2 linked regions of the Saccharomyces cerevisiae S288C genome follow. The protein of the gene in region 2 interacts with the protein of the main gene of each other region in a pairwise test. Each region holds a gene or a part of one and is shown on either strand. Other genes may lie near its edges.

Evidence for each region.
Region 1: the proteins of SMC5 (region 2) and SAP1 interact in a two-hybrid assay, tested with the Saccharomyces cerevisiae proteins (2 studies listed by BioGRID).

What each region holds. Positions count from the first base shown.
Region 1 is NC_001137.3:244,357-248,503, reverse strand, and holds the start of SAP1 (putative AAA family ATPase SAP1), read left to right. Parts: upstream 1-2,000; coding exon 2,001-4,147. Other genes in the region: CAJ1 (Caj1p), read left to right, coding at 347-1,522.
Region 2 is NC_001147.6:258,355-261,954, reverse strand, and holds the start of SMC5 (DNA repair ATPase SMC5), read right to left. Parts: upstream 2,033-3,600; coding exon 1-2,032. Other genes in the region: YOL036W (uncharacterized protein), read right to left, coding at 2,925-3,600.

The sequences.
Region 1 (4,147 bases), on a different chromosome or scaffold from region 2:
TTCAGAAATAAACAATGATGATTAATCCAAAAAATTTCGTATTTGAGAAGTAAGACAGTGAATCGAAGTGGTTCTCCTATGGATTGTTTTAGACCCTGGGAACGTCACTGCGGTGTTTTCGCCCGTCATACCAAGATGGGGCGGAGAACGGAAAATTTGATGGCGAATGTACACTGCCAAGGACAAACAGGGACGATAAAGTGTTAAAGTGGTGATATAGTCGGATCCGCGGTTAGCCGTAACCATTGCTTTCCAATGGTTTACGCCTGTAAAAAGAGCAACTTAGATAATTGTCGGCTTCACGTAATTAAGACGTATTAACTCAAAGGAAAAGAAAAGAGGGAATATGGTAAAGGAGACGGAGTATTATGATATTTTGGGCATCAAGCCTGAGGCCACGCCCACTGAAATCAAAAAGGCCTATCGTAGAAAGGCTATGGAAACACATCCGGACAAGCATCCTGATGACCCAGATGCTCAAGCAAAGTTTCAAGCCGTAGGCGAGGCCTACCAAGTCTTAAGTGATCCAGGGCTTCGTTCCAAGTATGACCAGTTTGGTAAGGAGGATGCTGTTCCTCAGCAAGGATTTGAAGATGCTTCTGAATACTTTACAGCAATATTCGGTGGTGATGGCTTCAAAGATTGGATTGGAGAATTTTCTTTGTTCAAAGAGCTAAACGAGGCAACAGAAATGTTTGGAAAGGAAGATGAGGAGGGTACAGCAGCCACTGAAACCGAAAAAGCAGATGAGAGCACTGATGGTGGAATGGTTAAGCATGACACTAATAAAGCTGAATCTTTGAAAAAAGATAAATTATCGAAGGAGCAAAGAGAGAAGCTAATGGAAATGGAGAAAAAAAGACGGGAAGATATGATGAAACAAGTCGACGAGTTGGCAGAAAAACTGAACGAAAAAATCTCTAGGTACTTAATTGCTGTGAAGTCCAATAACTTGGAGGAATTTACGCGAAAACTAGATCAAGAAATCGAGGATTTGAAATTAGAAAGTTTTGGTCTAGAGTTATTGTATTTATTGGCCAGGGTTTACAAGACAAAAGCGAATAATTTTATCATGTCCAAGAAGACTTACGGAATTTCTAAAATATTCACTGGTACACGCGACAATGCTAGATCTGTTAAATCAGCATACAATTTATTGTCTACAGGCTTAGAAGCTCAAAAAGCCATGGAAAAAATGAGTGAAGTCAATACTGACGAACTAGACCAATATGAACGTGCCAAATTTGAGTCCACAATGGCTGGTAAGGCACTTGGTGTCATGTGGGCTATGTCGAAATTTGAACTGGAAAGAAAACTAAAAGACGTTTGCAATAAGATTCTAAACGATAAAAAGGTCCCTTCCAAGGAACGTATTGCAAAGGCAAAAGCAATGCTGTTTATTGCCCACAAGTTTGCCAGTGCTAGAAGGTCACCAGAAGAAGCTGAAGAAGCTAGAGTTTTTGAAGAGCTAATCCTAGGTGAGCAGGAGAAGGAACACAAAAAACATACTGTGGCCAGATAAGCTCAGCAAGTTAATAACGCCTCATGTATATTTTTCATATATAGCGCAATCAATTACAAAGCGAAGAAAAAAAACCCTATGTATTCTAGACATATCACAGGCATACGGGTTTTCTCACACCAACCTTTCAAGTCTTCAGCACTTATGTTTTAACTTATTTTCTATTATTCAGTATATATATGGAATTAACACTGGCAACCCAAGCATCTTAGCCGAGATTCGCGGAGAAAATTGAAATCAAGAATAATAAAAATTCTTGATTCACGGTCATAAGAGGCTGAAGCAACAGCAACCGGCTCCCCAAGAACTACAATACGCGTCCGATATACTTTCTTATCAAATATATTGGTAATAATAAAGGCTGCAGTTCTTTTTTTAATATAGTCTTTTTACATTTATTGCAGCTAACAAACGCAATTTTTCTTTCCCTTTCACTCGTGCGGTTTTACCAGGATTGATTATATCGCACTGTGACACTATGGATTCACAAAGAAGCCATCATATTTTAACGAGATTAACCAAGATACGGAGAAGACCTCAACAACCGTTAACCGACTTTACAGAACTTTACAGTAGAATTGCCAATGAGACAATATATTACTTGAACCTAGAAGAGAAAAAACGATATAAAGAAGCATTGCAAGGATGGAAAGCGCTTACCACTGATGTACTATTCAAACAGACATTGATAGAGCATAACTACCCAAATACTCAATCATACACGAAAGATGAAGTTAGTTTACAGAACGGTATTCGAGAATTGTACCACAAGAGCGTTATGCATTTGAAAAGAGTCAAAAAATTGGTCCGAGAAGAGCCTGCTCCCAGGAATGATATGCCGTCATCCAAAACATACACTAATCATAGCTCATCTTTCACAAGGTCTACTGAACCACCTCCTGTATTCCAAATGGTTCCCGGAAGAATGATGAAAACATTAAGAAATAGAAATGCATGCGGCTATAAAACCGCATACTCCAACCCCTCACTATCATCATATGGTAACAGCACATCGATAAAACGCGGAGAAGATGCGGAGAACATTAGAGTAAATTTTGTACCTTCTAAGCCTTTATCCAACAATGCAAGCAGACAGCACAAGAACCCTATTGAGCACAATGATCCTCCACTTAAGAAGGAAACTGAACTGTACTCAGATAAATATATCTCAGAGCCAATATTGATAGATTTGACTAATGACGAGGATGATCACGATGTCGGCATTTTAAAAGGACACAACGTTTTTGATGAAGAAGAAAGTGATGGTTTCGAGTTTGATGTGTCCGATTACTATGATAATTTCTCCGAAGTCGACGTAGAAGAAGAAGAAGAAGAAAAAGAGGAAAGACGACGTATAAAAACGTTAGAAGCAATTCAACAGCAAATGTCTGACTTGTCTGTTACTTCTTCTACGTCCAGTAATAAGAGTGTAAGTTCTTCAGAAAATGTTCCCGGATCATGCATACAGTCCCTGCCGACTACCGCCCCTGCTCTTCCTTCATTACCTCCACCTCCTTTATTAAATGTCGATAGAGCGTCCAGCACTGGCGCTCTAAAGCCACATAGTTTAGAAACTTCTACTACTATGGATTCATCAAAGATTAGGAATCCTCAAATATCAAAATTAATGAAGAATAATCACGTACCATACTTAAAGGGTACCAAATCAACGCCCACTCTTATCACTAAATCAACGCCAACATTTATTACAAGATCAAAAAGTAATACAAAACCAATCATCAAATCCAATGCATCGTCTCCGACCTCTTCTCTGACTGTTCCAAATTCAGTAATTCAAAAACCCAAAACGGCTGCAATGGCTGCTAAGAGAGTTCTGAACAGCAAAAAGGTTGCGAGTAACCCCGCATTAAACACTACGAAGAAGAGTCACCCCATTTTGAAATCCAAAACGGCGAAAGTCCCAAATTCCAGTTCGAAGAAAACGAGTAGCCATCCTTCCAGACCTGTAAGTAACTCAAAACCATACTCGCATGGTGCATCCCAGAATAAGAAGCCATCGAAAAATCAAACCACGTCTATGAGTAAAACGAATCGAAAAATACCAGCACAAAAAAAAATCGGTTCTCCAAAAATAGAAGATGTTGGAACAGAAGATGCCACTGAACATGCCACTTCCCTAAATGAGCAAAGAGAAGAGCCTGAAATAGACAAGAAAGTCCTGAGGGAGATTTTAGAAGATGAAATTATTGATAGTTTACAAGGTGTAGATAGGCAAGCTGCAAAGCAAATTTTTGCCGAAATCGTAGTGCACGGAGATGAAGTTCATTGGGATGATATTGCTGGTTTAGAAAGTGCAAAATATTCTTTGAAGGAAGCAGTTGTCTATCCGTTTTTGAGACCAGACTTATTCAGGGGGTTACGTGAACCAGTCAGGGGGATGCTCTTATTTGGACCACCAGGTACAGGTAAAACAATGCTAGCGAGAGCTGTAGCTACAGAGTCGCACTCCACCTTTTTCTCTATTAGTGCTTCCAGTTTGACATCTAAATACTTGGGTGAAAGTGAAAAATTAGTGAGGGCACTATTTGCAATTGCCAAAAAATTGTCACCTTCTATAATATTTGTTGATGAAATTGACTCTATCATGGGTAGTAGGAATAACGA
Region 2 (3,600 bases):
CTAACGTAGATTTTCGATCGTTGTATTCATTCTTTAAGTTGATAATTTCATTTTCAATTCTAATTTTCTGCTCATTTGACATGATTGATCCCTGATAAAAATTAGTTTGTTTAATACTAACGTCAGTAGGAAAGACCTGCTTACTACCATATGCTGATTGCTTGATATCGACTAACCTATTCCCATGAATAATCCTTTTAAAAAGAATTTTCCCATTCGGTCTTGGTGTAATCAACTTCTTTATCTGAGCAGGCGTCAATTCCCTTCTTGATACCGGTATAGTATGAATTTTGCTAGTTTGACAAAGCATTTTCATAACCCTCTTATCACCGGTAATAAAATCGGATAGATAACCCTCAAATCCCAGGTCCCTCACCGTTTCCGCTGGTACAGGAGGGGTGGTGTCTGCACTGGAGAGTTCTCTCAAATTAACCTTGAATTTGTCAAGAATTGGATTTGCAAATAGCTTGTAAGAATCAGAATCAACAACAGTCAAGGCTTTACTCGTATTATAATCCACACATTGTGCTAAATATGCAGCAAATTGAGCGTTAATGGCAGACACGGTCATTATTGGCGGTTCTAGAATTTTATCTTTCATTTCTGGATGCTCTCTAACCATCAACACAGCATCACGGACCTCCTTTAAATCCTGGTCCTGATTTAAGATACCGATTTTATCAGTTGTTGTAAGGGATTTGGTCTTGCTTTCAGCTTGTCTCTGTATGCTTCTCATCTCATGATTAATAGCGTTCGCCTTCGCATCAATTTCGGAAATAAGATCCCTAATTTCGCCTTCTTTATTAATAATTTCCTTTCTTTTAATGTCTATATCTTCAAATACGCTTTTCTCAGGAAGATGTGTTTGTGCTAATATTTCCTGACTCCTTAGAAAATCTTCCTTTGTACTAATAATGGTGGCCTGTAGTTTTTTGGTTCTTCCTCTATAATATTCGTTCTGGTTTTTCTTTTTGATGACCTCATCCCTAATAGTATTTAATTTTTCGAAGATTTCGTTGATCTTTTCTTTTGCTTTCAGGAACTCATCAGTTTTTAGGGAACACTTCTCTGTTAACTCTTCCACCTGATTTTCCAAAGTCTTCTTAGTATTTGCAAATGGTTTTTTATCCTTCAGTATAGCCCTTAAGTTCGCTTTCGCTCGTTCGTATTCTTCTTTATATATGTTTAGCTTTTCTTTATGGTCCTTTACTTTCACATAAGGTAATAGTTGGGAGTGTAACTCGATTTCACCCTTCTTATTTTGAAAATCTCGTAAAGATTCAACTGATTTACGTAGTTTATCACTTTCTTGTCTCAAATGAACAATTTTAGCTTTTTTAAAATCGAGATCTTTTTGCAAGCTTTGCTCATTTCCTTGTAATTCCCTTAGTTCATCCAACACATCCAATAAGCTTGCATCGATTGACCTTATAGTCTCTACTAATAATTTAACTGACTTCAAGCGAGCAAACTCCTCAACACGCTCTTGAGATAAAAATTGACAAAGATTATCCAACTGAATGTTCAGCTGAGCAACTAAAGTTTTAACTACACTCTCAGATACCTGGTAGTCATTTATTAGATAATCCGATCTCCTCTTGGATCTCGTAATAATCCTGGTAATCTTTATTGTTTCATCACGTGCGTCTATGTATTCAATATCAGTAACATTTGGTGAATTTTTCAAGGTGATTTCAATTTTTGAAACATCTTGACCATTTTTGATGAAATCTTCCACTTTTTTACTCCTACCAATATACTCGGGTTTACCAGCCAATCCTAAACACACTGCGCATACGAAAGTAGATTTTCCAGATCCGTTTGGCCCAATGATCATATTTAAAGACGGTGAAAGATTGAATTCGGTTAAAGTGTAAGTAACAAAATCCTGTAAACGGATCTTAATAATGCTGCCTGGTTGGAAGGAAGACAAGTCAGGTTTTGCGATTTTTACCCTTTTCGATCTTGGCTCTGTATCTTCTCCATGATGCGTTCTTTCAACATATCTGCCCAAATCTATTAGACTGGTCATGCTAGGGATATAGCTTTTATGTACCACGCCCTTTTATTTGATATACTTCCTTTAGAATTGCGTACACGTACTTGTGAAAGTAAATACCTATTATCGGCATCTTGTCATCGCATAAAAAGGTAATCCAACGCGAAAGTTAACGCCATAATATAGCCCAGTCATCCTGAACGGTCTACAAGATTAATAAGATCAGCTATGCCAGCTTGTTGAAATAATTAGTGGCAACAAGTGTGTTGTCAGACAAATGTGATTATTTACATTTACAAAGATAGAAAGGAAATATCAAAACTATAAGAGTACACTACGGGCTAGAAAAAAAATAAAGGAAATGTTTCTTACATTAGTATCAGTGTAGCGGTTCTGTAAAGGTTAATCTTTGTTTGATTCAATCACGAAAAATCTGCTGCAAATTGCTACCTCTTTCATCATTCTAAAGTAAGTCCTTCTCTTATTCCTAGATGTTCGAGCAATACCAATTAAACTTGGCACGATGCGTGCAATTAAGAGTAATCGGGCACTGCACTCCGACTGGAGTCCGACGAATATCGTAGTGATCTTTTTTATCTACAGTACTGGTTGCTTATATCTTCCAGTGTATATATTCAATGTGGGAAGGAGGGAAAGGTCATTTTGCTAATTTTCATTTTTTCTCGCCTTTTAAAGCATGAGAAGAAAAGTTGACCATGTGTGCCAAAAAAAAAAAAGGTAGGGCTACCATCCTAATTAGAGTAATTTAAGGAATTTATTAAAATGCAATGTTAACTTTTTATAGAGTGCGTAAATAACTATGTAATGGTAAATACATGGCATACAGTATATGCGTGTTTACCACCATATATACGTGTATACTTATATTTTGTCTGCCGTTATATATAGCCAAGACCTTTTTCCTTCATGGGTTGTTCAACTTTCCACGGTAAAATCGGACATAATCAGACCATATCTTATTCATGGAAATTCGTTTCTTTTTCAAATACTGCAGGTCCTTATCACTGCACCATCTACAAGATGCAAATTTTCTTTCCAAAACAGCATACCTTTCATCTTCCTTGCGTTGCTGCTGAGCCAGGATTTCCACGTATTCCTTGGCATTGAGCTTCATGCCTTCTTTGTTTCTTAAATTGGTAATGCATAATCCGATGGTAGATTGCGTTTGTAACGACGAGCGATTGATGCGATGAGTACCCTCTGTGACAGAGAGTACGGGAACAAAACTTTGTAAGGCTTCTTTATCCAGATATATTTCACTTGGCTTTGTTTGCTGTTCAGGCAGTACATTTTTTTTGCTTGAATTTTTAGACAGTATCTTTCTACTTGACGTTCTTTTAGGAACATTAATCTTACCTTCTTCGCGTAGTGGAGAGATGTCGTCTGTTGATGATTCTGGAAGAGATGTTGATGCTCGATTAAATGTACTCACGCCATCTATTGAAACTCGATCATTTTCTTTTGAGACTGGCGTTGTCGGATGTCCTCCCACGGTTGATAAAGAGGAAAACGACAATTCTGTAGGCCCCGTAGTCACCATAGATTTGGGTGATAAAGTGAGAATTTCCTTACTATTATTA